Drosophila melanogaster: one gene and its partners. The protein of the gene in region 2 purifies or fractionates together with the protein of the main gene of each other region. This does not show direct contact. Each region holds a gene or a part of one and is shown on either strand. Other genes may lie near its edges.

Region 1 (8,657 bases), on a different chromosome or scaffold from region 2:
GAAGAAGGAAGGTCTTACTTTTCCTTCAAGCTGATATTTTCCGATTTTTTCTTCAGCGAGTCCATGGCGATGGCTCTCATTTTCTTGCTGACCACCAAGTCTTTCTTCTTGAGATTATTTAGCGATTCGTTGTACTGCTTTATGAAGCTATGAATTATTATTCCCGTGTGGGGCGACAGCTTCTGAATATCTGCCCATAATTCTCCCTCGTTTTTGGGAGACTTTTTTAGACTTTTTGTTGAACTGTCTATGGTGGCTGCAAAAGTTTGGTCTTCCTGTGTTTTTTCCACAGCCTGAGAAGTTTGCGCTTCAATTTTTGATTGCTGAACTCTAGGAGCCACTAGCGGAGTTCTTTTTTTGGATGGCTTTTCGTTTGATCTTTCGAAAAGTTGAGTTTTTACATGATCCTTTTTCCAAACAGTTGGAATTTGGCTGTTTTTTTCTTGGGCAACTGTACCTGGTTTTGGGGCTTTCGAGTGAGCTGCATCCACTAACGGTGCTCCCGATCTTTTCTTGGCGCCCGTCATTTTGCCAGCTAAGCAGTTGTATTAGCGCAACTAATTTATAAAAGAAATAAATATATATTGTACATTACAAACGTTTTGTTTAGTTTACCTAAACTTTTACCAAGTGCGTCCTGCGTTGAAAAGCAACGGTAAACATTAGCTAGAGATGAGCTTGATGACCTACAGTATATTGTTGTTCACAAGAGGTGTGTGTACTGTCTAAATACTGACCTCACGGTATTTTCTACTGAACGCCCCTGGTTTTGCGTTGTCGCCCTGGCTACGATAACTATGTTACAATTTAATAATAATTCTATTTTGGTTGTCAACATTCAGTTTTTGCTAGCTCTATTTAGAAATTTGAGTGCTGCAAGGAATCTAAGTGGCATCAGAAATCTGATCACGACTACATAATGGCGGGATCTGGAGTTGCCAAGCAGATATTTGCCCTCGATTTCGAGATCTTTGGACGAGTGCAAGGTATGCAATGCATTTTTCTGATTCGGCTTGTTAAACAGCGTATTAAATTTTGCAGGTGTGTTCTTCCGCAAAGTAAGTACTGGGAGGCCTATATATATATCTGGAAATCAACATTTAACTTATGTACATTTTTGGCTTAGCACACGTCGCATGAGGCTAAAAGATTGGGAGTTAGGGGCTGGTGCATGAATACCCGGGATGGGACCGTCAAGGGACAACTGGAGGCTCCTATGATGAATTTAATGGAAATGTAGGTACCGCTGCACTCCACTAATTCAATCATTTAACCATCGCCCACTAATTTGAAGGAAACATTGGCTGGAGAACAACCGAATTCCCAACGCTAAGGTCTCAAAGGCTGAATTTTCGCAAATCCAGGAAATCGAGGACTATACGTTCACTTCCTTTGACATAAAACATTAAAAACGAATTATTAGCTCTTTCGTTGTCCATCCAATTCCGAAACAAAGTCTAAATAAATTACCAGGGCTGCAACTTGCGTAAGCAGGCATATCTGCATTGCTATCGACTGAGTCGATAACATTCGATAGTATGAACATAAGAAATATTACGTTTCGCAAAACTGAACCCAGTACTGAAGTACAACAATAAATAAATAATAAATTATTTAAAACAAGGCGGAAAATTATTCCGAGAATCGATAGTCGCTAGTCGAAAGTGCGCACCACTCCAGTATCTACTCGATATATTGCTATCACAGCCGATAGTTTGCAGCTCCCTGCCATAGACACTGGTCATCTCGCTCGCACACACAACAGTGGGCCGCGCCACCGCCATAGGCGGCGCACGTGCAAGAGCGAGACAACCAGCTGGGCGACAGCGCACTTTGGTCTGGCACAGAAACGAGTACAGCTTCGATACACGTCGTTTTGCCAAAAGCGTAGCAGAGCAGTCTAAGCGATGAAAAAAATAAATGAGGAAAAAAGTCCGTGAAGCGAAAACCGTAATTCCTACAGTGCGAGTCACGCCATTGTGTTTGCAAAAAATATTTGCCAATTGTGCTACGGGCAATTTTTCGGAACGGCCGAATTGTGCGTATAATGAAAAAAAATACTACTTAATTTTTAAGCAATTTACAAATTCTTGCGTGCTGCCTGCCTGCTGTCGGTGTGTTCTTGCTTGCATGTGTTAGTGAGTACGATTACTTTCGCGCTGAAAACCTTTTTCCACTGCCCTTTCGCTGGAATCTGGGCGAATATAGATAGGACACAAAGCACATATAACTGATTTTTACTGCAGAATTGATCGAGACATGTGGAATACAATAAATGAGATTGTGTAAATAACTGAATATAGTGGCGCATACAGTTGCACGTGTGTGTGTGCTAGCATGTGCGTGTGTGTGTGTAAAGGCGCGAGTTTCCGTTTGCCTAGGCTAATTGTAGTGGAAAAACTCAATAAACGGAATTACATAAAAACATGGTGGCATGATCGGCAGTTTCCCGCCGGCAGAAGATGCCCAATCTTGGAAAATTGTAATTTTCGAAAGTAACCGCAATGATTTCGTCAGTATGTAAAGTAGTCTGTCAGTCCCTGCATATGTTTGTGTGTGTGTGTTCTATACAGTTTTTTTTATTGCGCATCATGGTGTGCAATAGCGCGCTTTCTGACCTCTCTCTCGCTCTCATGGGTTCTCTTGTTGGCCAAAGCGACGCTGTGTGTGTGTTGTGTACGCATATGTAGCATATGTACATAACACGCCGGAAAAGACAAAAAAAAAAAACCATTCCAAATTTTGAAATCTTACGGAGGCGGGCGGTTTAAACGAGATAAAAAATAAATACACCAATATTGTTCTTTTATATGATAACGCAGTAGTCTCGGACCGAATAGTATGCCTTTATTTTGTCGTCCTAACGCTGAATTGCCGAAAAATAATAGCCCGTTTTTGGAAAATTCTCGACAGGATTAGCATAAAGAGACGCCTTAGGAGTCGAACGAACCAAATGCCGCAGCAGCCGGCCAACGTATTAGCATCAGAACGATGGCCCCAGCGCTCACAGCCGAGCCACTAAGTCCAAAGGAGAAGCTAACCAGCACCGCCTCGCCCTCGGCCCGCAGCTCCTCGGAAAGCGGAGGAGTTGGATGTGCAGTTGGCTTGGTCAAGAAGCCGGCAACACCCACGCCGGCCACGGCCACCACGCGGATTACCCGCTCATCAGCGGCAGCGGCCTCAGTTACCGCTTCCCCGCATCTACAACAGCAGCGATCCTCGCTAGCAATCAATAACAAGCGAAAGTCGGGCAACGCTAAAGCCAGCAATGAACCAATGGGGCTGAGCACAGCCCCGACTCCACACAGCACCACTTCACCAAATCCCTCGACGGATACTGCGGCAGCCTCCACCTCTGCCGTGGAGCACAACAATAACGACAGCAACAGTACCTCCGCCGGCAACAGCACCTCCGCCGACAACAGCTCCACGCCCAAGGACAACTCCACCGCTCAGCTACTGGCGGATCTAACCATCAACTTTGAGGAGACCATATCCGCGGAGATTTGCCTGAGGAAAACCCTACCCGATGTGAGTCTGGGGAAAGAGCCGGTTCCGCCTGCCTCGGTGCTGGCAGTGGCCACAAGTTCAACGAGTGCTGGCAGCGCTCTATCCTTATCTGCAGTGGATGAGGTGACCAAGATAGAAATAGATAATATAGAAGGTGGGTCTAAGGAATCACTCCAAATAAATAGTCTTGACTCAAAATTTCTCTCGCCCACTGTTTCAGAGCGTCTCAGCCAGCTAGATGGGAATGCCACTGGAAGGCCCGAGGAGCATGTGGCACCACCTTCTGTTCCGGTACCCGTGCAGGAGGCGCCAAACACGCCCACCAGGCCACAGGCGCCACCAAGTGCCCATCTTGAGTCTCCGCAGCCGGCGCGAACACAGCAGCAGTCCATTCAACAGATGACGCCGCAAAGCACCACCAGTTCCAACAATTTTCTCAAAGACGGAGCAGCTGGTGCTGTTCTAGAGGATCAGGATATCGAGGAGGTGCTTAAAGCGCTCAAAACATTTGACGGTGGCCATGTTAATCCAGATACCATTTGCGAGTTTTTCGACGAAGTTTGGGAAGAGGCAGCACCGGCAGCGCCATTGCCGCCCGCGCCACCCGAAAATGTGGTGGATGTGCCGGGCGCGAAGCCCAGCTGCAGTGGCATCCTCGTTAGCGGCAGCAACATTTCCCAGCCGAATGTGATTATTAAGCAGGAGCAGCGGCCCTGGCAGGAGAGTCATGCTGAGTTGGAGCAGCAGCAGCACGTTATCTCGCGCAGGATCGAGTTTTTGCTACGCAGGATGCGCAAGCTCCAGGCGCGAGCGATGTGCCGTCACGCGAGCGAGGAGGTGGTTGGTATCATGGAGTGGTCTGCCCGCAGTTCCCATAAGGCTCCAGTTCCAGCGAGAAGTTCCACGCTGACTGAGCAGGAGGCCACTGTCCTATCGATTGTCTCAGGGCGTCCGAGCTCAACCTTCTGGGAGGAGCAGAACAAGCATCCGCTGCCTGCTAGCCAGATGAGTAATGTGATCCGGCATATTGCGACGGCGGCAAAGCATCAGCAAATCTGCCACTCAGCCAGCGGAAGCTCTGCTACTCTGGCGCCATCCTCCAGCTGGTACAACAGCTGCAACAGCTCTGCGCTGCCGATGAAGCGTCCACGAAAGAATCAACTTGATGCTTCGGTTGCAACGGGTGCCACACCCACTGCACCTGCGCCAGGAGCGGTAACATCTAGACAGGCAGCTGGCACGACGGGATCCGCAACGGGTTCGAATACACCGCGGGCGGATGATATCGTGCCCGGCTACGACACCTATGTGACTAATGAACTCACCCATGTGTCTGGCCTGCTGCACACGGAGCTTCGAGAAGTACAGAATGCCATCGACTCGGACGCCACGGAGTCAAGTTCTGGTGGAGAATCCGCTGACGAGATGGTAACCTACAACAACAACCAGCAGCTCTCGCTACCAATGTGAGTACTTCGTATTATTTATGTACATACTTAGGTTATCGGGAATATTTTACAAGTAAACTTTCTTCCATCTTTTTTTGAGGGGGGTTTTCAGCTTCTGTCATCTTTTTAAGATCATTCTTTTGCTATAGAATTTGTCCGATTAATGTTGGCTCGGTAGTTTTCTTTCAAAATTGTTTTGCTTTGACAGGCATTTTAAACATGATTTAACGTCGTCCTTAGCAATTGAAAAGTTGTAATAGGCTTTGATTAGAGTTGTTGTACCTAATTATCGCATTTACAATGCGATATTTCAACTATTTCAACAGTTTTTATTAAAATTGTTAATTAGCGATTATATATTTCTTTTAGCTTTTTTTTTGTGGTATTCTCTTTCCTAATGCTCTTGAAATTTGATTCTTTGCAGCACTCGACGCGCTGTCTGGCGATATTCGAGAGATCGTGCAGCCATTGCCCTGCGCTGGTCCTGGCTCTGCTCCCAGCTGACCGATTTGGAGATGAAGATCCGTCAGCACAGCGACCTTTACATGGATCTAACTCAGTCCAAGGGCGAGATCCAGCTGGAGTCCACAGCTAAGACCTCACCGTCGCTAGCACAGCCGGCAAATGGCATTAAGGAGGAGCCCGGATCCGACTACCTCTGCAGTCGGGCACGTCCATTGGTGCTGTCCGAGTTCCGCAAACGCAAGCTCTTCCAGACCACGAACATGCACACGATTTCCAAGAAAGCCGCACGCCCCAGCAACATTAAGTGTGGCTGCCAGTGGCCGCAGGTGCCATGCACACTGTGCACGGGTCGGACAGACCCTACGGCGCCCAGGGATCTGGTCGAGACGATGATGCCGCAAAACCGGGTGGCATTGCTCGATGCTGGCTACCATCCAGTGCTCAGCTTCGCCAGCGGTGAGTGGGAGGTTACACTGAGTGGACCCATTTGGTTTTCGTCCATGATTATTTCTTATCATCTGTGATGGTTTAACATTATTTATTCTACACTTGAGATTTGAACTGAATTGATTAAAAAGTAAAACTTTAAAATGCAATACTTGCAAATAATTTTTATTCGAAACTAAAACATTAAAATCCTCGTATTCTTTACATTGGATTCCAAAATGAAAAGAAATAGTCGGATGATGACAGCTAAAGTGGAATTATGTTTGAATATATTCTTATCCCTATCATTCTTGTTTCCCAGATGTCAGTCAGTCGGTTCACTTGGAGGCCGTTGCCCGCCAGCCGGACTGGCAGTACCGCGTCATGCGCAGCCAGCCCAAGGCCATTGTCAAGGCCATGTGGAAGGCGGAGCGCGAGACGATAGCCTCAGGCGGTGTCGGCGGACAAGGTGGCAGCCGGCGGTCGGGCGATGCGGCGAAGCGGCGTTATATACGACGCAAGGAGCGCAACAACAACTCAAATAAGGAGGCTGGGAGCGGAGCTAAAGCTGCTGCTGTCGCCGCAGGAGGAGCAGGCGGAAACGGAAGCAGTAGCGTCGGGGGAGGGGATAGCGGAAACGGTACTGGTACTGCTACTACTTCTTCTTCTACTACGCCTACTACAACGCCACTTGTGGCCAACAGTAAATTATTGTAAACATGACGAAATTCGATAATTGTTATTAACATAAAACAACAACAATCTTTTGCATCTCTTCTTCTTCTTTTTCTTTGCATCGATCAACCAAAACACGAAATTCCACCAACACCATCAACAAACACCACCACCAACAACAACAACGAAAAACCCCACCAATTGTTTTATTTTGCCATTCCGTTCTTGTCTCCGTTTCGTCCCCGTTCCGCATCCAAATCACGGACTTGACGCAACATCAGCAGCGGCCAGGGGCAAGCGGCAACCACAACACCCAACTGGAGCGAACAGTTCCAGCTCGCTGTGGCCAGACTCTCGCCAACGCCAACGACAACGCCACCACAGTCCCTCCTCAACCTCGATCTCGGCACTGAGCGGCGCTAAGAAGGCACGCAAATCCGCAACCAACAGCAGCAGCAGCAATTCCACACAGCAGCAGCAGAATCACCACGGCACCAAAATCAACAATCATCATCTCAATGGCTACGGCGATCAGTGGGGGGAGCAAAGCAGGAGTCGTCGCAACTCTTCGCCCTCCAACAGTCATAAAAATGAGAGGTATGTTTCGGATTCAATAACTGATCCCAGGGATTCGCGATAAGTAGTCCTGCTTTTTTTTTATAAGATAGATTGTTATATATAATTTATATGTATGTTTCCCTTGCAGAACCTCTGAGCGTCGCGTTCGTCCCATCTACGACATCAATAACATCGTTATACCCTACAGTATGCTAGCCCAGTCGAAAATGGAGATAATTCCCTACAAGGAAATACCCATACCCAAGTAAGTATTCAATTTTGCGCTAAGTCCTTATTTTATATATATATGTCGCATAATGTAAAATACCAAGATTTGTGTATATCTATTAAAATCACCCATTCCATCTTTGCTTTCAGGTGGCGCATTGTAGACAGTGATAACGATAAGGGAAAACATTCGTCAGATGAGTCAATGGAGCGCAAACTGAGCAATGGCTGTGTCGCATCAAAGTCAGAGGAGCTAGCCAAACAACAGCTACCACCACCACCAGATCAAGATCAAGAGCAGCCGGCCCTGCAGCCTCCGAAGGTTAATGGTTTAAAGGAAAATCAAGCAGTCAAGCACAATAACAATAATAATACAAACAATAATAATAATAAAAATGGACTGGTAAATGGTAACGCCAAAAAGGATGAACTTAAGGCTGCAGAGGATCACGATACGCAATCAAAAGAAGACGACGATCCAAAGGAAAAGGTGGTCAAACCCAAGCTCAACGGAAACTTGATAAAGAATCCGATTGACAAAACTGCCGAAACGCAAGACAAAATTGCTCAGCCAGCACCAGAACCACCACTGCCAAAGCGACCCAAGCTGGAAACTCCAACCTCCAACGAGGTCACCAAGGCTAATGGGCAGTTGGTGCAGCAACAGCTGGAATCCCGTGAGAGCGAGGAGGAGCCACAGCATGTCGACGAAGATCTTTCGGATGAAGCGTTTATTATGCGACATCAGCGAGCTCTTCTCGAGGAGCGACGCCGCTTCGAGACTTTCCTTAAGTTCCCCTGGAGCACCCGATCGCGTGCAAATAGGCGCGTCGATAGTCGTGCCGAATCTAGTGGCGCCAACACACCGGATCCCGCCTCACCAGCTCCTCATCTAGGCGGCCCTGGTCACGACAACGAAAGCATTCCCTCGCCGCTGGCGTACCCACTGGACGCTTTTAACGAAAGCGGTGAGCTGCTGACTGGCGGACAGGCACGCCAAGCTCGTCGTCGGACTACGTCTAGCAAGCTTAAGGATCAGCTGGAACGGCGCAGCACCACGCCCGATCTGCGGGAGGTAAGTCGATGTCCAAGTTTCACATTTGTTGAACTCATATATAAAATAAATTCTGGTTGTGCCTATTACTTTTGCCGAATTTTGTTTTCAAACTGCTTTGAATGTTCAAATACTGATTGTATAGAATAGTTTTCTAATTGAAACCCTTTTCCTTTTTGTATAGTCTTACACTGTGATGCCATCTCCCTTTGAGCCCTTGAACTTTCCGCTCTCCGACGAGGTCTACCAGCGATTGCTAGCCGAGACATATGCGCCGCCCAGGTCAATGACCG
Region 2 (7,891 bases):
TTGCCGCCAATGACATGCTTTTTCCATTCTGGAACTTCAGGAGGAGCAGCAGCCATTCCTCGCATGTTGGCCGCCAGGCTGCGGCTCTCATCCTCCGGCAGTGGGTCTATCCAGTTCTTATTGAGGCTCGTTGGCATAGCTTCTATCTCTTGTTCACGCTGCAACATCTTCTGCTCGCGACGCTCCTTAGACAAAGCCGACTGCATCATGGCAGCTTGAGCCAGTGAGCCATCGGGATTCTTTACAATTCTCACTGGAGACAGATCATGTAAGGCTCTACCATGCCCGGAGAGGAAGGGTGGCTCCTCTTCCACAATCTCAATCTCGATATCAGCTTCGTCGTCTTCGTCTTTCGGCAATAAGCCTGTTTCCTCGTCGAAATCAGGCATCTCACTTCTGTCCAACACACCGGAACTAATCATTTGCTTGATTTCCCAGCGCTCAGGGCTGGAGATCCTAGTCACACGTTTCCTGGACTCGTGCTCGTCACCTTCCATTCCATTGCCTTGCAAATTCAGCATCGATGTGCTGCTGCTAAAGGGGCCATCTGGATTTCGATCTCGTAGAGACTCATCGTCTTCTGGCGCGTGTGACAGTGGATTAAGATCCTTTCCAGAGTCCTGATCCACCTCTTTCATCGACAAGGACACTTTTTGACCAGTTATTGACATTACTTTCACTTTAACAGTCTGATTCCGAGTGACTACCTCCGTTACATCTGTCACGCGTCCTTCTGCTCTTAGTTGTGAGATGTGTACTAAGCCTTCCCAGCGTTTCCGCAGTCCAAAAAGCTGTACGAAGCAACCAAAGGGTACAATATTAGCTATCTTGCCGGAATAGATCTTGCCCGCCTCCGGATCATCGGTCATGGCGGCAGATGGTGGGGGCATCTTTTCACTGCAGTCCCTCGAACGATCTCTCCTATCTCTCCGTTCTGTGGAACGAGATCGGCTTCGTCTTCGGCGTTCGTGGTGATCTCTTGAGCTGGAACTCTTGTGGCGTCGATCTCTGTCACGATCGCGATCCTCGCGAGACCTGCTTCTGCGGCGATTGTCTCGGGATCTGCTGCGACGACGGCGTTCCTTGTCACGCGATCTGCTTCTGCGGCGATCAGAGTGCCTATCCTCCCGCGACCTACTTCTTCTTTTTGTGTCTCGATCCCTACTTCGGCGCTTGTGGCGGTCCCTGGAACTGACTTCTTTGTGTGGTCTTACCAATGTGGCACCCTCGCCAGGGGCCAGCGCTTCCAGCTCCATCATAGCTGCATCCACATCGCTCATATCGGTTTTTTTGTGCGTTTCGGAATGCTTCTCCGGTTTCGCCTTCACCTTCTCATCGTCATCGCTCTCCTCCTTTTTGCTGTAGGTGTCATTGGGCAAAGCGAGGCCGGGAAACATTTTCAAAAGTTGCGATTTCTTGTCTTCCTTCTTGTCGCCGACAGTTTTCTCCTGGCTAGCGCCGCCAGGTCTGCTGGGGCGCATAAGATTAATGATGCGCTGCAGGTTCTGGACCAGGGAGTCTGGGAATTCGGCGCCATTATCCAGCAAAGCCTTGCGAAATGTGTCATATGTGCGATTTTTGTTTTCTAAATCGATGATAAACTCGGCCAGGTCCTTGTCGTTGATGCCCAAGTGGTTGTCTAGCTCAGTGCAAATCTTCGAGACCAGCGAAAGGTACTCCAACTTCTGCAGCTCGTCCATGCCTACGGAGAGTACTAGTTCAGCTAAAATTTACAAAATTTGTGGAAATTTTAGAAAATTTCCCGCTGAAACTAAACGTGATCAGCTGTTTCTGCACGCAATGGTGTTGCCAGGCGCGTAAAAACAACGGAACGAGGTGGCAGCACTAGCCCCAATCACTCGGTTTCTGACGCTACGCTTAATTTCGTCGCGTTTTTGTTGTCAAAACTAAAAACAATCTCTATTTTAATTAAAGATACATCGAAATATGTCTTCGTTCTTCGATTGCTTCAATGATTTTCTGCAGAGCGGCGGCAACTTAGTGCAGAATGTGTCCCAGGAGCAGGAACAGAAAATCGCGGACCAGGAACTGGACGGCGTCATAGAGCTAATGCCGCCAACCACCCCCACGCCCAGCGAGAGTGTAAGTAACATCCTGAATAAAGGAGTAATTGCTCCACTTGCCCCACATCAAATATATTCGTTTCGTTGGCGTTTTGTTGTGAAATAGAATAATTATCAGCGCGGGGCGTGAGGTTCGGGGTAGCCGCGGTGTTGCCGGACTAAAGTTCTACTGTTAGATGTGGCAAGGCCACGTTTGGCACGCCATATTTTGCTAGAAAGAAAATTCGCAGTTGTGTACTAGGAAATACCAGAAAATCAATAAGAATTGCTGGTAAAATTGGTTAATATCAGTGCGAATCGCGAGTGACCTTTGATTGGGCCGTAGGCTAGCGCCTTGTGGCATTCCCAGCTGTTTCTTACCATCGCAAGCGCGACAACGACGTAGAAAAGAAGAAGAACATCAATTTGGGGGTACCCAGTTAACGCATTATTAATTATTAAAAATTAACTATGAAGGAATCGGGAAGTGTCAGCAAAAATCAGCCGCAGACCTCAGAGGCCAGAGGCTCGATTATAACCTACAGTCCCAGCAAATTTCTGACTAGCGTTGGAACAGGCAGAACGACATACAGCACACATACACACACAACAACAGCAACGTCGGCGGCGACAACCGCAACAAAAACAAACAATTTACCAATGGGCGGATCCAGTGCCGCTTATTATGTGGTAAAGGCTGGCTCCCTGGGCAGCGCTGCCTCCATGTCGGGTTGCATCAAAGTCAGTTCTCCGCCAAAGGGGCCGCCGATGGCTAAGTCGCCCGCCCTGGTCGTTACATCGCCCTGCACGCCAACAGAGAGTGTAATGTTTAAACTAAAGGCATCATATCACCCACTAACCAGCACTGCATGCGCCCTAAGATCCCCAACCGAATCACTCACCTCACTAATGTACCTTCTTGTCGGTATTAAACACTAATTAATGCTTTTATCCTTTAGTCCAGTACCATTTCGGCCCCTAGTGAATCCTCCTTTAGCGAGAAAATGGAGCACAGCTATATGCGAGATACGCCAGTGCGCAGCGATGTTCACAACGGCCTAACGCCCGCTAGGAACATTCTGGTCCGCCATCCGCCACAGTGTCCCAGTTGCCACACATATCCGCCGCAGCACGAGGAGCTGTCAGAGATTCAGCAGGCCCATGTGCCGCCCTATGATGAGGTAGTCGCCAAGGAGGCAATGAATGAATGCGCTCGTATTGCAAAATACGTAAAGAACAACAATTCGGATGAGCAAGATTGGGTGGCGCGCGTTAATAAGTAAGTTCTCGACCTTAGTCAATAGAAAAGCTTTACCATTCAACATCTCCCACCACACAGATTTAATTGGACGCCCATGCAGGAGATGGTTTTCGAGAAGGTCTGCTCAATTCTGGACCAGGATCAGTTGGCACGCTTGGCCAACGACAAACGTCAGCACGAGCCTATCCATCGTCGCATAAGCTCGGACAAATCCGCGTCCAGGTTTCGCAAACTTCTAGCCAGCGTGGCTTGGGAGTCACGCATTACGCAGTGGATCCATGCTCTGCTCATGGAGCACTTGTCGCCTTCGTATATGGCCTCTTATCTGGAAATTCTTCAGACTCTGAAGACCAAGTTGCCCACTTTAGTGGACAAGATGCTGTTTGGTAGGCCCTTAAATAATAGTCAGGAACTGCTGGCACCGGTGATGAAAAAACGATGGGAACCAAATATCATGCCCAAGTCCCGTCAGCTAACGCATAACGCCATCATGGTGGTGCTGCCCAACATGCCGACAACTGGAACAGTTTCGGACCGCATGCAGAAGTGGTACCAGGCATTATCTACTATCACTCAGGTGGTTCAGATTTCGCTGCCGAATACAAGTAGGTTTACTAGCAGAGCTATCTAGATTATCTTATTTAACCATTTCACTTTTATAGACAACAGAATTGGGAATCAGAATCTGGACCATGTGGCCGAAACCATTGTGTCTATCACACGCGTCAAAATCAACGAATTGCGCACAGAAAACCCCAGTCGTGGCATCATACTCGTTGGATTTAATGCTGGAGCTGCCTTGGCTCTACAGGTTGCTCTATCGGAGAGCGTTGCCTGTGTGGTTTGCATGGGATTTGCTTACAACACAATACGTGGGCCACGCGGAACCCCCGATGACCGCATGTTGGACATAAAAGCGCCGATACTCTTTGTCATCGGACAAAATTCCGCACGCACAAGTCAGGAGGAAATGGAAGGGTTACGCGAACGAATGCAGTCCGAATCTTCGTTGGTCGTAGTGGGTAGTGCAGATGATGCACTGCGTGTGCCTAAGAGCAAGCGGCGAATAGAAGGCGTTACACAGTCGATGGTTGATTACATGGTTGTCGTAAGTTCAAAATAGAATATTTGTAATGAAAATACTGTATTTACTTATGATATAAATTGCAGGAGGAAATCTTTGAGTTTGTGAACAGAACGCTAAGCAATCCACCTGGACCGCGTATGCCCACATGTTTAATGCATCAGCAGGGCTACCAGCGACTGCCAAAGCAGTCACCTCACATCCTGGCCGATGGAAACGCAAACAAGGCTGTTCAGCAGATGCGTAAGCGAAAGATGGACGGTGGTTTAGACGACTCAATGGGTCAGCCTTCCAAAACAAAGTTTGTTCCTCACAGTAAGTATCAGTTTTCCAAAATTAGACCATTAAATCGCCATAACCTTATCATCCTACCATCCATCCCGCATGTTTAATCACTAACCACTTAACCATAACGTTCCCAATCAAAATTGTTCCTTCGACGAAGATCGCGTCCACAAGCCGAAGCCACCGCGCCTCATTGATCCGTTTGCTGTGAAGCGAAAGGGTAAATTCATCTCGGGTCTTCCTCTACTGCCACTTGTTGTTTGGCTCGCCCGATTCATAAACTAACATTCTTACCCCCTCAGTTGGAAGACCCCGAACACGCCCCCTTCCCAATGTCGGTGGCTCGGCACGCTCTGTTAGCCAAAAAGGTGCACCTCATCCCGACCAACCAAAACTGAGCGGCGAAGAACCTAACCAATCCATTGAATTCATACTAGATGATGCCCAGGACTATGGAGATGCCCAAACCACTGCAGGTGGTTCAGCGAGCCTGCCAAAGGTGATAACTCCCGGTGTTTTGGGAAAACAACTGCCGCCCGTCAATCTCGCAGCTGGCACCAAGATTAAGATGATCCCATCCAGCCAGTTCGTTCAAATCAAATCGCTACCGTCACAGAGCAAACTCATTAACTACACGCTAAACAAACCGAGTGTCGGGACAAGCAGCACCGCCAACATTGGCAGCGTGGTGAAGACCCTACCATGCTCATCCGTTAGTGGCCAGCAGATCATCACCTTAAAAACGCCCTCGGGACAAACGCAGCAGTTTGCAACAGCAGCCACATCAACAGGTGCCGCTGGTTCATCGACATCAACAGGAACGGGACAGAAAAAGTACACAGTTTTTAAGAACGCCAACGGCATGACCATGCTGCATCTCACCAAGAGCGTACCCACTACAGGTTCTAGCAGCGGCTCTGCGAATATGGATTTGTCCAACATTATCGATATGCCCATTGTTTTTGCCGATAACGAAGGCAATATTCCCGAGCACCAACAGGCGGATAAGGATATTAAACCAGGTGCGTTAAGTGTTATGGTTTATATACTAGATTTTAATTAAACATTTTTCGCAGCCCCCATTCGAAGTGCGAATAAGAGCCCGTTGATCATCAGTCAGAAAATCATTAAGGAGGCAAATAAGCCCTCGGGCATGGTTACCAGTGGCAGCATTACTGCCGTCAGCAAGCCGGGGAATATTGTGCTTAACAAAGGCCTTCAGCAATTGCTAAATTCATCGCCCGGTGGAACACTTGCCACTCAGAATAAAGTTGTGTACCTCAACCGGAGTACAATTAAGCCAATGGGAAATGTGGCGCCTGGTACTCATCGTGTCCCTATAAGGATTGTGAGCACCCCAAACACCGGAGGTGCAGTGACGACCACAGCTTCCAGTAGTCCCATTATGGTTGATCCAGCCACAGGATCCAAGGTTGCCAAGACCGTCAATGTGCAGACAATCAAGCCTACTGGTTCCGTTCTGGCTCAAGGCACCATCCGTCAAGCGGGCAACGTGGGCACCAAGAGCTACCTCCAGATGATCAATACCGCACCTGGTGCATCCAAAACTGTTGCTGGCGACGGCAAAGGTTCTGTACGAAATATCTACTTTAAATCGGCAACCGGACTCAAGCAGTTGCCAGTGCAGATGCTAGGCAATCGAATACCGGGTGGCGCCGTCATTTCGTCAACCGCATCGGCATCTTCTGGATCTCCTGGCTTGCGGCGAGTGGTAAACATTGGGCCCGTTTCCAAGGTGACGGCCACGTCGACAACATCATCGTCGATAGCTGCTACTTTAACCCATAATAAAATGTAGAATTGGACAATGTTTTAATTGCGTGCCTGATACATTTTCGTACTTAGCCGATATCTGTGTAAATATGTTAAGCCATTAATTAATTAGTGATTAAGGGGTCTTGAATTACCCTCTTTCCTCAATGTCAAGGATTATAATTTCGTTCATATAAAGAACAAATAAAAAAAAGTCGACAAAAAGTTTATTTTTATTTAAGTTCTGGGAATTCGGAGAACGCTTCGCTTGCAAACCTGTGCAAATTCCATGTCTGGGATTTGGGTTACCATATAATGGTTCCCCGGTCCTATGTACAAACCTTATGCATACATGGGTGCAATTGCTGAAAAGCGACGGAGCAGTACAGGAAGCAGCAGCGGCGTGGGAAATGTATTCAAATGCTTCGGCTCGAAGTGCGTTAGTCCAAGATTTCTCTGCCATTTATGAAACCACAAGTGTGTTCACACGGCTGCTCTGCGACCAGTGCTGGTAAAACTGTATTCTGATGACCGATATTTTGCTTAGAATTGCAATTCGCAGCTCACTGCCGGCAGCTTGGAAAAAAGTCTAGAGTTTCATTGAAGTTTCGCGGGCAAGTGTATGGATGGTCCTACACATACTTGTATATATATATATATCTAAATATATATATGTGGGTTTCTTGTTAAATGCCTCTTTAGTTTGTGCAGTACACTTTAACCCATTTGAGGTATATTCTAATATATGATGTATATTTATGCAGAAAACTAATTTAAAATCTCATATCTCCTATTATTGTTTTTGTCGGTATTTTAACAATATTTAATATTTTGGTATTAAAGTGCTCTTAAAAAATTGCTATTATTTGAACGATACATAATCACGATACAATAATAATCATAAAAGAATTTAATTTAATATTTACATTTAATAAACCGTTTTTTTTTTTTGGACCTAAAGGGTTAAGTGCACTTTTTGACTAGTCAGCAAATTGCAAAGTGAAGCTCTCTCAAAAGCCAAAGAACATTTTCGCGGATCCCGAATGCCGCTTGCGCAGATTTTGAGTTTTACTTGTGATTTCTTATTTGCTTTAGTATCCAGTCATATATTTTATTACATTGTATGTACAGTCCGAAATCGTGTAGATATATAGAAACACAATTATGTATAGCACTGTATTTTTGAGGCGTCAAGGGTAATACGGACATTTCGAAGTGCTTGGAACTTCAGTAGCGCGACAAACGTGATCACGAGCAGATCGTCAAGGATTACAAAGTAAAGCTGCAAGGATACTGAAAGGATCCAATTGGTTGGTTCAACCAGAGTTTTCAAGGATAATACAGTGCAAACAAAAGGATTTAATTGGGTGATTAAAAACAAGTGCATTCTACGGTTGTTTTAACACAAACAAAAAAAAAAACTTT
Region 3 (6,227 bases), on a different chromosome or scaffold from region 2:
CATTTAGCTCCATGGCAGCGGGACTGGGAGCCAGCCAGAGGATCGGGGATCAACCGAACCGGCCCTCCAGTGCCATGCTCACTGATTTCTTAAACATGGAGTATGATGAGAGCACCAGTTTGCAGCGATTGGTGCGTTCCGAGGCCCACACACCGGATTCGCCTGCCTCTGTTTGCGAACGCGACGGAAACGATCGCCTGGGATCCGTGCTTCTGGATGCCGTTTCGCCAGGGACACCCTTTGGCTTTCCGCTCGTCAGCAATCCGGATTCCTTGGCTACGCCTATGTTGGGCGGCGAGCGTTCGTCGCGACCGCGACTTCCACAATCCCAACAGCAGCAGGATGAGGGTCTGAATCGCCGGGTGTCCAGCTCCTGTCGATCGCTAGAGCGCCTGCATCGCGGACCAGGTCGGGTGTCCATCTGGTCCAACATGATGCCCAGCCAAGTGGCGCATCCGTTTCAGGGCGCCATGGGCGCACAGATCGTGTGCAATGGCTGCGGCTCCAAGTCGGCCGTTCGGTACGATAAGTTCGACAGCATAACGCTAAATCTGCCGCCGCAACGCAGAACTGGCTTGAGTTTGGGCCACTTGCTTAGCGAGTATATCACATCGGAGGATCTGAGCGATGTCAAGTGTGACTCCTGCAACGAGACCACCACGCACACCAAATCGGTTACGTTCGCTAAACTACCGGCCTGCCTGTGCATCCATGTGGCGCGGACGGTGTGGCTGCCAACTGGACAGGTGTGCAAGCGGAAGGACTATGTACACTTCCCCGAGAGCCTCTCCATGGCGCCCTACAGCTTCGTGCAGCCGCATCTCAATAGCCAGGTGAGCGTGTGTTGCATATGTTTGCCCCAGAATAACAAACTTCCCCTGTAAAAATTATCCTTATATATGATCATTTAAATACATATATCTAAAGGATATATATGTATAGGATATATCTATAGAATATAGGTCTTTCCTTTTCTAATTGGTGTACAAAGAGTAGTGGCATTCAATTCAAGAACTGTTTACATTTAGTAACTAGCATATTGTTAAAACAAACACTTTTGCTCATGATTACAGGCTGGCACTCCCTGGGGCTCGACAATGTCGCTGTATTCCTCCAGCCTGCCGATGAACAATGGCGTTGGTGGTGGCGAGGGCTTTGGCACGATGTTCCCCAAGAATCTTTACCGGCTTCTGGCCGTGGTGGTGCACTCCGGGGAGGCAAACAGCGGTCACTTTGTAACCTACAGGCGTGGCTCGTTGCGGAACGCACATCGGTATGGTTTCCATTGCCTCTGTGTAATAATTATGCTAATTCTGTGCTATCCTTATTAGGTGGTACTACACATCGGATACAATTGTGCGGGAGGTGAGCATCGACGAGGTGTTGAGCGTCCCCGCCTATCTTTTATTCTACGATCGTGGCCAGCAGAGGCAGCTAAATCTGCGCTAGTCAGGTGTAGGTCGTCGGTATTATTCTAGTCCATACTTTTGATGTGATGAATATGAATATCCGAAACCAAATCCTTTTCGTCGAACGGTGGCCATAGCAAACACGCGTCACATTTATATAGATATATATACATAACTCATATAAGTACGGGAACCCACGATGATCTGACCTATACTCGGCGGGTTCATGTAATGGTCTCCGCATAATCCAAACTCTGTGTACGGCTTATTGCATATAGGAACTCCCTATCGTAACAGAGAGCTCGACTCTTCATTTGTTATCTATGCATTTAAGATTTTTTAAGAATTCCAAATTCATGCCGTGCTTTTAGCTGTCTGTATTTAGCAATGTACACAAATCAACTACCAATAATTGTTTGCGCGTTAATTCTGTAGGATAGATGTTCAATAAAAATTTCGAAATCAGTTCCAATTTTTTAAAGTGCTTTCTCTGAAGGTTTTGGATAAATAAAATATATTATAATACTGAATGCACAGAAAAATCCAGAAGGGTAATTTCAAAAAGGGTGCAAAGTATTGTACATCGATAACCACCGATTAATAATCGATTATCTGGACATGTTGTGATAAATCAGGGTTGCATTTCACGCCGTATTTCGTTTCATTTCCCTAAAGAGTGAACAAAAATACGCAATTGGACAAATCTAGTGGCTAAGAATGTCTGAAGCGGAGCTGGAACAGACACCCAGCGCGGGCCACGTGCAGGAGCAGCCGATTGAGGAGGAGCATGAGCCGGAACAGGAGCCAACCGATGCGTACACAATTGGCGGTCCGCCGAGGACGCCGGTTGAAGATGCGGCGGCCGAATTGAGCGCCAGTCTAGACGTCAGCGGCTCGGATCAGTCGGCGGAGCAGTCGCTCGACCTCAGCGGTGTCCAAGCGGAGGCCGCGGCGGAGTCAGAGCCACCGGCGAAGCGCCAGCATCGCGACATCAGTCCCATTTCGGAGGACAGCACGCCGGCGAGCAGCACATCGACTAGTTCCACCAGGTCGTCCAGCTCCTCCCGCTACGACGATGTTAGCGAGGCGGAGGAGGCACCACCGGAGCCCGAGCCGGAGCAACCACAGCAGCAGCAGCAGGAGGAAAAGAAGGAGGACGGTCAGGATCAGGTGAAGTCACCAGGTCCAGTTGAATTGGAGGCACAGGAGCCCGCGCAGCCGCAGAAGCAGAAAGAGGTGGTGGACCAGGAAATTGAAACCGAGGATGAGCCCTCCTCCGATACGGTAATCTGCGTGGCCGACATCAACCCCTACGGCAGTGGTTCCAACATTGACGACTTCGTTATGGATCCCGATGCTCCTCCCAATGCAATAATCACCGAGGTGGTTACCATTCCAGCTCCTCTTCATCTCAAAGGGACACAACAACTGGGGCTGCCATTGGCTGCCCCACCGCCACCACCACCTCCTCCAGCAGCGGAACAAGTCCCCGAGACTCCCGCCTCGCCCACAGATGACGGCGAGGAACCACCAGCAGTATATTTATCCCCCTACATACGCTCTCGCTACATGCAGGAATCGACACCTGGCCTGCCCACCCGCCTGGCGCCGCGTGATCCTCGCCAGCGCAACATGCCGCCGCCAGCCGTAGTTCTGCCCATTCAAACCGTACTTAGCGCCAACGTTGAGGCCATTTCTGACGACAGCAGCGAAACTAGCAGCAGCGATGACGATGAAGAGGAAGAGGAGGACGAAGATGATGCCTTGACCATGGAGCACGACAACACTTCCAGGGAGACGGTCATCACAACAGGTGACCCTCTGATGCAAAAGATCGATATAAGCGAAAATCCCGACAAGATCTATTTTATTCGGCGCGAGGATGGCACCGTGCACCGTGGCCAGGTGCTTCAGTCTCGCACCACTGAGAATGCGGCCGCTCCCGATGAGTACTACGTCCACTATGTTGGTCTCAATCGCCGCCTGGACGGATGGGTGGGCAGGCATAGGATCTCGGACAATGCGGATGACTTGGGCGGTATTACCGTGCTGCCAGCGCCACCATTAGCCCCCGATCAGCCAAGTACTAGCAGGGAAATGCTCGCCCAACAGGCCGCCGCGGCGGCAGCTGCCTCATCCGAACGGCAGAAGCGTGCGGCCAACAAGGATTACTATCTGTCCTATTGCGAGAACAGTCGCTATGACTACAGCGACCGCAAGATGACACGCTACCAGAAGCGGCGCTACGATGAGATCAACCACGTGCAGAAGAGCCACGCTGAGCTGACCGCCACGCAGGCGGCGCTGGAGAAGGAGCACGAGTCCATTACGAAGATCAAGTACATTGATAAGCTGCAGTTTGGCAACTACGAGATCGACACCTGGTACTTTAGTCCCTTCCCCGAAGAATATGGCAAGGCACGTACGTTATATGTTTGCGAGTACTGCCTAAAGTACATGCGCTTCAGGTCGAGCTATGCCTATCATCTGCACGAATGCGACCGCAGGCGTCCGCCCGGAAGAGAGATCTACCGCAAGGGCAATATATCCATTTACGAGGTGAACGGCAAGGAGGAGTCACTATACTGCCAACTTTTGTGTCTGATGGCCAAGCTCTTTTTGGACCACAAGGTTCTATACTTCGACATGGACCCGTTTCTCTTTTACATCCTTTGCGAGACGGACAAGGAGGGCAGTCACATTGTGGGCTATTTCTCCAAGGAAAAGAAGTCGCTGGAAAACTACAACGTGGCCTGCATTCTGGTATTGCCGCCGCATCAGCGTAAGGGATTTGGAAAGCTACTAATAGCCTTTAGCTATGAGCTGTCGCGCAAGGAGGGCGTAATCGGTAGTCCGGAGAAACCGCTCTCGGATCTGGGTAGGCTGAGCTATCGCAGCTATTGGGCATACACGCTGCTGGAGCTGATGAAAACCCGCTGCGCTCCAGAGCAGATCACAATCAAGGAGCTGAGCGAAATGAGTGGCATCACCCACGACGACATTATCTACACGCTGCAGTCCATGAAGATGATCAAGTATTGGAAGGGCCAGAATGTCATTTGCGTTACGTCCAAGACCATTCAAGACCACCTCCAGCTGCCGCAGTTCAAGCAGCCCAAGCTGACCATCGACACCGATTACCTCGTCTGGAGTCCGCAAACTGCAGCGGCAGTGGTCAGAGCTCCGGGAAATTCCGGCTAGCATACGGAACCTGGAGACCCCGTTCTGCTATCATCGCATATAATTGTTATTGACGATGACGATTAGGTTTTTTTTTTTTATTTTTTTTTAAAGAAAGCGTAGGAATAAGCTATTCTATTGCACCCCTCCAAACGAAAAATGTATAGTCATATATCTAAATGGAACCATCAGAAGGTTCAATGTAATACTTAACATTTGGTTTACAATTTTTTTTTTTTATAGTTAAGGAGTTTTACGGATAGGCTGTTGTAACTCTTAATGATAGAACCAAATGTCTAATTCGTTTGGCTAATGTTTTTGGAGAGGGAATTTGGAACAACCATTTAAAAATTTTAAAAACTTCTGTGTTCTTGAAATATATATCTTTAACTACTTTATCTCGAAAAACTCTGGACTTGTTAAAAACCAAATAAACTTCCACAGCAGCCGATATGCCGACGCCTGAAGAGAATACATCTCTATGAACTCCTTACACGTAAGATAGCATAATCTCTCCACGGTACATTTTTATACACTATAATTAAGGAAGAGAATCCATAATATCTTTTAGGCTACACATTAGGTTAAGTTCAGAAAGAACTGAACGATTCCTACTGACTAATGAACAATAATAAATGATTTAAACTGTAAAAAAGAAAAACTCCAATCTGAGAACATGATGTACTTTCTCAAATAAATGCGTCGTTACATTAACGTCAAAAAGAGGAAAAATTAAATAAATATTTACAACGACAGGTTATTCTTTTCATTATTTTTGCAACACATTTCTTGTAGGTTAGCTTAATATGTATATTTTGATATAATAAAAAATATATATAGAAATATCGAAAACATTGGAAAAACAAGTTTAAAATTTCGAGCATTAAAATCCATTGCTAACCCTCTCCTCCCTAGCGTCATAAGCAATCGGTTATCGAGGTTATCGATAACGCCCGCATCGATACAATTCCGCCGGCTTGTCCGATTCGTGTTGTTGTGATTCGGGATATATACAGGATATAGGGCAGCCAAAATGGGCCTGCTGTCCGATCCGTCGATATCGACGCAAAGCAAGCTGGTGGACGGACTGGCGCGTCATGTTCGCAAGGTGTGCTACGCCCTTTATGTGGCGGGTGTGGCCTGGTTCTTCTGTTTGGCGCTGCCGGAGTTCAACCACGGGACATATCTCTCCGAGAATGCTCTTTCGCCAGGTGAGTTACGTGCAGCGTCACCAAAAGAGAGCCGCTAACAATTGGTGTGATCTATTGTAGGCTTGGTCTATCCGGAGATCCGCATCGATGCGAATCGTCTGGCCATCCAGTTGCTGGAGGAGCTGCAGCGGGAGCGAAAGGATCATCTGTCCACCACGCCGCACGCCTGGATTGCGGCCAAGATGAACGAGTTCGGCCTGGAGACGCACACGCACAACTACACGTTGCGCTACCCATTTGGCGGCGGTAAAGAGTATCACGGCAAGAATATCTACGGCATATTGAGGGCCCCAAGAATTGCCTCCACGGAGGGCATCGTTTTTGCGGCTCCATATCGCGCTGCCAGTTCCGTGCACACGGACATTTCCGCCAGCGTGCCGCTTCTGCTGGCCTTCGCCGATTTTGCCCGGCGCAAGAACTACTGGGC
Region 4 (7,442 bases), on a different chromosome or scaffold from region 2:
AACGGCAAAAGTTACACGAAGGCAGGTGCCGCTCATTACCTGACACATGTATCTCGTTGGACACTTTGGGCGGATTATGCTGGATGCTGCTGGGCCAGCCGCGCCCATTTCTCAGAAATTTCTATAATATTTAGCAAAATATTTGTATCGATTATTATTAAACTATGCCACAGAGGTGGGTGTTAAGTAAAATTATTTCAATATATTGTACACAGAGTTTGGAAAAATCCCAATTGCTAGCATTGAAAAAATTCCACATATTAAATTTCAAATTTCAAATGACCGGCGTGCAATGCTGAACGACAAAGAGCAATAAAAATTATAATAAATTAGGCAACCCATTTACATGGTCAACACGTGTATTTGCTTAAGCCATGTCTTTCGGGCAAGCATAATTTATTTAATTTGTGTGAGCTACTCGGCGTTACATGAATTCCCGTGGGCACTCTCAAGCCCAAAATGATCATCATCATTTAGCGATAATATTTTTGGGTAATAATCATGTGATAAGGAACCGGGAAACTGGGCCCAACTGTCAAGAGACGCGCAGCCAGCCTATTACCGCATTGCATGCCCTCATATTTACGCAATGAGTTCCCAGACGGTATCGGAATGGGGATCGGGATCGGGAGAGGGAGAGGGAGAAGGGGCTGACTTATGGGCTATGCGGCTGGGACCGATGAGATGAGGCTGGGGAATGGGCCTGGCCAATTTGTCGATGAGTTGGGTAAATATTAAAGGAGAAAGTGCCGCCGTCAGTTGGACCAAAAGTTTTGTACTCTCCTTGTACATATTTCTGTTTTCGGTTTTCTGTTTTTGAAAAATATTTTTGCACAGGTTACATATTGTTGAATTATTTGCACAAAAAGAGAGTGAGGTCAGGTGCAGTCGTCCCAATTTCATCGAGTGTCGATAATTTATGCAAATATGTTCACTAATAGTTATGCAAACGGAAATCTAACCGTGTTTACCACCCATTTTGGATTTCCCTTCGAGTGGCCCCCTCAATGTCAGTTTTTGACTGACCAAAATTTATAAAATGCTAAATTATTCGGCTTAGCAACGTCAATTACTCACGTTATTTAATATTTATGTCAGCTGCATATGACAATAAAAGCATTTTATAATTAAAGTTTGCTTTATGCTCCAGCCGTGATTTGATTACAAATATTGGCAATCCACTGAATCAAAGTCAACACCATTTGATATTGGCTCCGTGTCAATTTCGCAAACACGCCCAAGATCTAAAAGTCAACCGATTGACCCAGAGACCTCGTTTTCAGGGAAGTACCCAAAAACAGGAAGCTCTTCGACCGTGAGTTTCCGGCTATCATTCTAAAACAATATTTGTAATGGAACTAAACTGTTTAGTTACGGAATTCGAGGGGTCAAGCCACATATATACATAAGATATTGACACAATATAGAGAATCTTAATATTTTATTCTTTCAAAATGTGCCATCACATTTTCCTCACATATTTCGATTTGAAGGCCAAAGCTCCATACTTCAATCGATTTTTTTGGCGGCTCAATCAACCGATCAAGCAGCAGGCGCCACATTTAAATTTGTCAGTTGTTTCTTGCATGCTAATGACCGGGTGAAATATTGTAATTAAAAACTACAATGAGTGTTTATTTTAGCAGTATGCGTAAATAGCTGCTCCTCAAACTTTGAAACCCAGTGTTGAAATACATATTTCCAGAAGCATTTGTCGAATGGATAATATCGTATTTGGTTAGCTTTTTGCAAGGTGTCTGCCTTTTGGCGAACGTGGTGACATGTAAGCCCAAAAGCGTACATTAATTGCATTTCAAATAGGCTTTCGGTGGCCTTGGGAACGGTGGCGTATCGGCACGTGATCCTTTTTCCGCCGAGCTGAGGAAATTTATGGCACCCTCACTTCGCTAAAATGCATTAACGCACCGATTAATATTAATTGTGCAGCGGGTATTTACCAACTTTAATAGTTAATTTATGGCAGGAAGATTGATGTAAAGTTTCATGAAAATTGAGATAGTCAGAAATAAAAAGTAATTAAATTCAACCTACTCAGGCTCTAAAGTAATATTTATTTATTTATCGAAAGTAGTATTTATTTATCACCACAATAAAGATCTATGCAATAAAGTCATTTAAAATTTATTTTTTATAAAATTCAAAAAATATCGTTAAATAGTTTTGAACTTTTCCAACAAGGTGGCAATATCTAACTATCGATAGTTTGCCGACGCACACGTTTTTACTGTACCCCAATTTGGTATCACTAATTTATTGCGCTGTATTTTTCTGGATAATTTTCGCGTCGTTTCCTGGATTATTTCATCACTTAGCAAAGTGTGCGTTTGCACATAGGCAAACAAAATAGAGAATTGGGTGAACTTCATCGCCATGGGCCGCCGGTGCTGCGTGGCCAACTGCCCGTCGACGTCGCGTCTGTTGGAGCACAACGGCGTGACTTACCACTCCTTCCCCCTAGATCCCATCATCCGCGCCATATGGATCAAAAACTCTCGCATCAGCCTGGAGCGCCAGATCACCAAGAGCGTGCTGGTCTGCTCACGCCACTTCCGCCGTTTGGACTTCAACACTATCCGCAATGGGAAGTATCTGCTCAAGCCGCGCGTCTTTCCCACCGTTTTTCCATGGGGCAAGATGGATACCGCGGAGATCGAAGCAGACCAACGGGCACTTCAGCACGCCAGCGTGGAGGGAACGACTGAAACCCCGGGAAATGCTCAGTCATCGACCAATGACGATGTGATCAAAGCTACGGTAGACCAAATAGTTGCGCAAATCCTGTCGGAATCTGCAGAACGCAAGGCCACGGAGGAAGGTAAAACAGGCAAGGCGGCGGATGACGTTAAAAATACTCCCGAAAGTGGAGAAGATGCAAACAAGGCAGCTGCAAAGGAACCCTCAGGGACTCCGGTAGCCGCAAGCAGCGAAGCCACAGTCCCAGCTCCTGGATCCGCTTCCAGTTCGAACTCACCTTTGCCCGGCACACCGCCCAAGTACAGCAACCCACATAACCTGACTATTGGCGCCCGTTTGGAGGCGCTCAGTGTGGAAGGCAACTGGTTGCCCGCCCGCATCGTGGAAGTTAACGAGACGGAGCAGACGCTACTCGTGCGCTTTGAGCGCAATCACAAGCTAAAGGTGTCACCTTCGACCAGCGGCAGCTTTCAGGAGTGGATGGCCATCAAGTCGGAGCGGCTGAGGCAGCGCCTCAGCAACCGTGTGCTGCCCGTCTTTGAGCTGGACGAGAAGTGCATGGCCCGCTGGTCGGGGCCGCGTAAGTTTCCAGGAACCATACGCAAGTTGCTGGGCAACGATACCTACGAGGTTCTCTTCGACGATGGTTACGTTAAGAACGTGCGCGCCGTGCACATGAACAAGATGCCCAAGCAGTTGCCCCCTGTTCAGGTAGCGGAAGAGGGTGCCTCAAAGTCACCCACTCCTGTTGGAACTCCAGTAAGCTCTGCACCTGTGGCTCCGAAGCGGGCGAGCACAGGCAGCCTTGGCGGATCCAGTGGCTCTTCGGGCAGCAAGAAGAGCAAATGTGCACCTCAGCGCAGGGATTGGCCGTTGCTGGACATGGCCAGTTTGGATATAGGTAAGAGCACCGAAAGGAGAATGTTAGTTTTGCCTTAAACTTAACTTTCATGTTTGACTTTCGTAACCAACAGCATCCCTTGGACTCCCAGAAATACCGCATGACGGCGAGTGGACTTGTCATTGGGTAAATGACCAGCCTATTGGAACCGAGGGTTTTCTGATTGTGGGCGAGCACCAGAAACCCACTGTTATCGTGCAGGATTGGCGTCTGCCTCCTGGCTGGATCAAGCACATGTACCAGCGGTCCAACGTCCTCGGCAAGTGGGATGTTATTCTGGTCTCGCCCAGCGGCAAACGTTTCCGCTCCAAGTCCGACTTGAAGTTGTTCCTTGAGTCCCAGAATCTGGTCTACAACCCGGATGTGTACGACTTTAGCATCCATCGACGTCGTGCCAAAGACATCAATGCTTACGTCTACACACACGGCTACAATCCGCAGCCACCGCCCAAGCCCAGGCCCATGGATGTGTCGATGAACTCCACGCTGGACCAGAGCATCACGTCGCAACATTCTTTACCTTCTACTCCGATGCCGGTGAAAGAAAGCCAGTACATGGAAGCACCGGTGGCCTCGCTTATGCCACCAGCTGAGTTAATGTCGCCGCAGACGCAGCCTGCCGATGAGACAAAGCCCAAGATAGAAGCAGAAATACTGGAAGCCAGTGAGGGAGGTACCTCTCAGCTTATGTTAGCAGATCCTCATGTGGTGGAAAATGGCTTTGGTAAGTATATGCAATTTGAAATAACATGTGCTATATTAAAATAAATTATAATTCCATATTTCAGCTTTCATTGGGGGCCTAAAAGTCAAAATCCAAGACAATCTTTATGTATGCCCGCGCGAAGATTGCGCCAAGACCTATCGCAAAGAAGACTTTCTGCTAATCCACATTCGCCATTATCACAAGGAGTTTGCAGAGTGAGTAATATTCATTCAAAACTCATGACACCTAACTTACTTTAAATCTACAGACACGTCAGCCACTGTCCAAAGATGCAGGAACTAGCGGTCAAACGTACGCACCCCTCATCCATCGATCAAGTTGAGGCGGTGCCAAAAAACCAAATACCCAACCAGCAATTCTTTGCCAAAATGCACCAGCAGGATTTGCAGCAGTCACGATCGTTTAAACGACAGAGTGTATCAGCTACGGCCACATCTTCAACGCCATCTGACATAACGCCTACTAAGGCCCTGTTATCTCCTAAGATGGAGCCACCAAGTGTGTCGCCAACTGTTGAAAGTGGCATTAAACAAGAAGATGTTTCTCTGGATGCTGGTCCAACTCAGTCGTTTAATCCTTCATTGAGTCGTTCCTGCAAGCGTGCACGCTTGTCGCCGTCGAAGCGGCCATCTGGCTCGCGAAAGAGTAACCGCCAGCGCTCTCAGCGTCGTCCCATTTTGTCAGATAACCCGGCTGGTCATGGCTTAACCGAACAAGATGTTGAGGAGACACGGCAATCTTTTAACACCCCCACTCCGGATACGCGCATCGACTCGAAAAAACGCCGCAGTGGTGCGGCAACAACTCCCATCAGTTCCATTGACTCACCAGCCATGGGAGATTCGGTGTCCACGCCATCATCTAATGACCAGACCGACATAAATGCAGCCCTTGCCCCACCACCAGCTGAAACGTTAAGCAAAGCACCACAGTACATCAAGGAAAATGGTGAACTAATTCGAATTGTGCGCATGCGGCAGGAGGAGATCATTAACTGCATCTGCGAGTATGGCGAAGAGGACGGCCTAATGATCCAATGTGAATTGTGCCTATGCTGGCAACACGGTGCATGCAACGGAATTGTCAAAGAGGCAGATGTACCGGACAAGTATGTGTGCTACATTTGTCGCAATCCGCAGAGGGGTCGGGATTCTATGAGATTTAAGCACGACCAGGACTGGCTATTCGAAGGCAAGTTGCCGGTGGCCGCGTATCACACTGCAAATCCACAGGCCACCAAACAATTCGAGCTCTTGAAGCGCTCGCACACGCTGACCGGCAATTTGCTAGATGCCAAGCGATCGATGCACTCGCTGCTGGTGAAGATTAACATCGCACGCAACCGCTGTCATCCGAAGCTTTATCTATGGGCCAAAAAGTGGGACGAAGACAATCTGGACTCTACTGCGTTGACACCGGTTAAGCGTGCAAAATTGGAGGCCCCCGACCTTCCGAACGTTCCGCAACCGGAAGCTGCCATCGATCCGGAGGAGTGCCAGTACCGTTTGATCGAGCATATCAAGGTGCAGCAATCCTTGGTTCTCGATCGGCTGAATGACATAGAAGCCGAAATGGACGGTTAGTATCCAAAACTAATTTTTGTCACGAGTATATATGAATCTATATATATTTTTGAATTTCTTTTAGAACTTGAAAAGGAGGACACGTTGGATGACTTAAAGGACGCTGACATCTCGACCACAAAAGAGGCGCTGGCCACGTTTATTAAGGAGCTCGAAACCATGAAGCGCCTTGCCAAGCTCAACCAGGTGGCCAATATGAAGCAGACCCTCAGAGATTCTGCCACTAGCAAGTAGCATTTCTATTGATCACGGTTATAGGGGTCTAATGAGGATTTTCTTTTAAGCTATTTTCGAACTGTTTCCATAATTTTGCAGACGTGTAGATAGTAACCGTACAAGCTTTTTCTCTTCAAAAAAAATATTGCTATACTTTATAAAGTTTGATAATATAATGGAATTTAAATGTATATTCTTTTAAAGTTAACCATGTGAGAATACAGAAAATTATAATTTCATGCCCAATTATAAAGTTAAGATGCTTGATGATAAAACCTGACTACAAGACGTCTTTGTGACGTCTTTGTATTCGTGACTTGGTCGCAGTTATGTGTTGTTGGCAATCTCTTTGCTCCATAGCTTGGTTCGCCGCGATGTCGGCAGCCCAGGAGACGCTTTCCGACACCCCGCAGAATAGCACACCTTTGTTAGCCACAACTGTGTCGACCACGAAGGTGATAAGTTTCCGCCCTCGTTATCCATACATCGTCTCCATAGGAGAGAACCTTAAAGGATACTACAAGCACCTTTGCGTGGGCGTTATACTTTCGAATGAGTTCGTGCTCAGTGCAGCCCACTGCATCCAAACGAATCCAACCAAACAACTGTACGTGGCTGGTGGCGCCGATTCGCTGAACAGCCGGAAGCAGACCCGCTTCTTCGTCGTGGAAAGAAGATGGCATCCCCAGTTTAGGGTGCTCGGCGGCAACGACATTGCCGTGTTGAGGATTTACCCCAAATTCCCGCTCGACGATGTGCGATTTCGTAGCATTAACTTTGCTGGAAAGCCTCAAAGGGATAGTGGCACCCAGGCCTCGCTGGTTGGCTGGGGTCGGGTTGGCGTCGGCAAGATAAGAAAACTCCAGGAGATGCCCTTCTTGACCATGGAGAACGATGAGTGCCAGCAAAGCCATCGCTTCGTTTTCCTCAAACCGCTTGACATCTGTGCGATGCATTTGAAAGGACCGCGAGGTCCCTGCGACGTAAGTGGATCAGAAATACGCCAGAAATTCATAATCGAAAATCAATTAAAATTTTTTCAACAAAGAATATGTTTTCCAATTAAATTAAACAAACTACATATAGGTACATTTCAAATATTTAATCATTATAAAATTTGAAACTAGAAAACATATTCCAGTCAAATTCCTTGGTTTGCAATACGTAGCAATTTTTAAGAGGTATTTAGGATATTATTTATAGAAGTCCTATAATTTCTTACCAGGAACAAACACCAATGCTATAAAATAATTTTTATATCAGTTAAATAAGAGTTATTTTAATTTTACATTTCAGGGAG

What was found.
Region 1: the proteins of Rcd1 (region 2) and nsl1 purify together in Drosophila melanogaster (affinity purification with western blotting; 5 studies listed by BioGRID, with this or other methods). This does not show direct contact.
Region 3: the proteins of Rcd1 (region 2) and mof purify together in Drosophila melanogaster (affinity purification with western blotting; 2 studies listed by BioGRID, with this or other methods). This does not show direct contact.
Region 4: the proteins of Rcd1 (region 2) and MBD-R2 purify together in Drosophila melanogaster (affinity purification with western blotting; 4 studies listed by BioGRID, with this or other methods). This does not show direct contact.

Annotation. Positions count from the first base shown.
Region 1 is NT_033777.3:15,791,916-15,800,572, forward strand, and holds the start of nsl1 (non-specific lethal 1), read left to right. Parts: upstream 1-1,866; 5' UTR 1,867-2,138; exon of another isoform or gene 2,139-2,285; intron 2,286-2,913; 5' UTR 2,914-2,991; coding exon 2,992-3,664; intron 3,665-3,730; coding exon 3,731-4,976; intron 4,977-5,382; coding exon 5,383-5,879; intron 5,880-6,171; coding exon 6,172-6,552; coding exon of another isoform or gene 6,553-6,566; exon of another isoform or gene 6,567-6,805; coding exon 6,806-7,121; intron 7,122-7,230; coding exon 7,231-7,347; intron 7,348-7,460; coding exon 7,461-8,385; intron 8,386-8,548; coding exon 8,549-8,657. Other genes in the region: c(3)G (crossover suppressor on 3 of gowen), read right to left, coding at 19-527; Acyp2 (acylphosphatase 2), read left to right, coding at 920-986, 1,042-1,058, 1,127-1,236, 1,295-1,409.
Region 2 is NT_033778.4:14,147,058-14,154,948, reverse strand, and holds Rcd1 (reduction in Cnn dots 1), read left to right. Parts: upstream 1-2,240; 5' UTR 2,241-2,534; coding exon 2,535-2,885; intron 2,886-3,022; coding exon 3,023-3,342; intron 3,343-3,402; coding exon 3,403-3,929; intron 3,930-3,986; coding exon 3,987-4,432; intron 4,433-4,494; coding exon 4,495-4,723; intron 4,724-4,853; coding exon 4,854-4,913; intron 4,914-4,995; coding exon 4,996-5,715; intron 5,716-5,769; coding exon 5,770-6,512; 3' UTR 6,513-6,686; downstream 6,687-7,891. Other genes in the region: pea (peanuts), read right to left, coding at 1-1,700.
Region 3 is NC_004354.4:5,872,652-5,878,878, reverse strand, and holds mof (males absent on the first), read left to right. Parts: upstream 1-2,025; 5' UTR 2,026-2,126; coding exon 2,127-4,610; 3' UTR 4,611-5,039; downstream 5,040-6,227. Other genes in the region: Usp30 (ubiquitin specific protease 30), read left to right, coding at 1-833, 1,074-1,273, 1,332-1,449; GAA1 (glycosylphosphatidylinositol anchor attachment 1), read left to right, coding at 5,623-5,800, 5,861-6,227. UniProt on the Drosophila melanogaster protein: Histone acetyltransferase that catalyzes the formation of the majority of histone H4 acetylation at 'Lys-16' (H4K16ac), an epigenetic mark that prevents chromatin compaction and constitutes the only acetylation mark intergenerationally transmitted.
Region 4 is NT_033777.3:12,351,093-12,358,534, reverse strand, and holds MBD-R2 (MBD-R2), read left to right. Parts: upstream 1-2,269; 5' UTR 2,270-2,391; coding exon 2,392-3,616; intron 3,617-3,689; coding exon 3,690-4,340; intron 4,341-4,404; coding exon 4,405-4,537; intron 4,538-4,590; coding exon 4,591-5,921; intron 5,922-5,990; coding exon 5,991-6,160; 3' UTR 6,161-6,392; downstream 6,393-7,442. Other genes in the region: CG10041 (uncharacterized protein), read left to right, coding at 6,472-7,125, 7,439-7,442. UniProt on the Drosophila melanogaster protein: Component of the non-specific lethal (NLS) complex, a multiprotein complex that promotes expression of housekeeping genes on X chromosome and autosomes.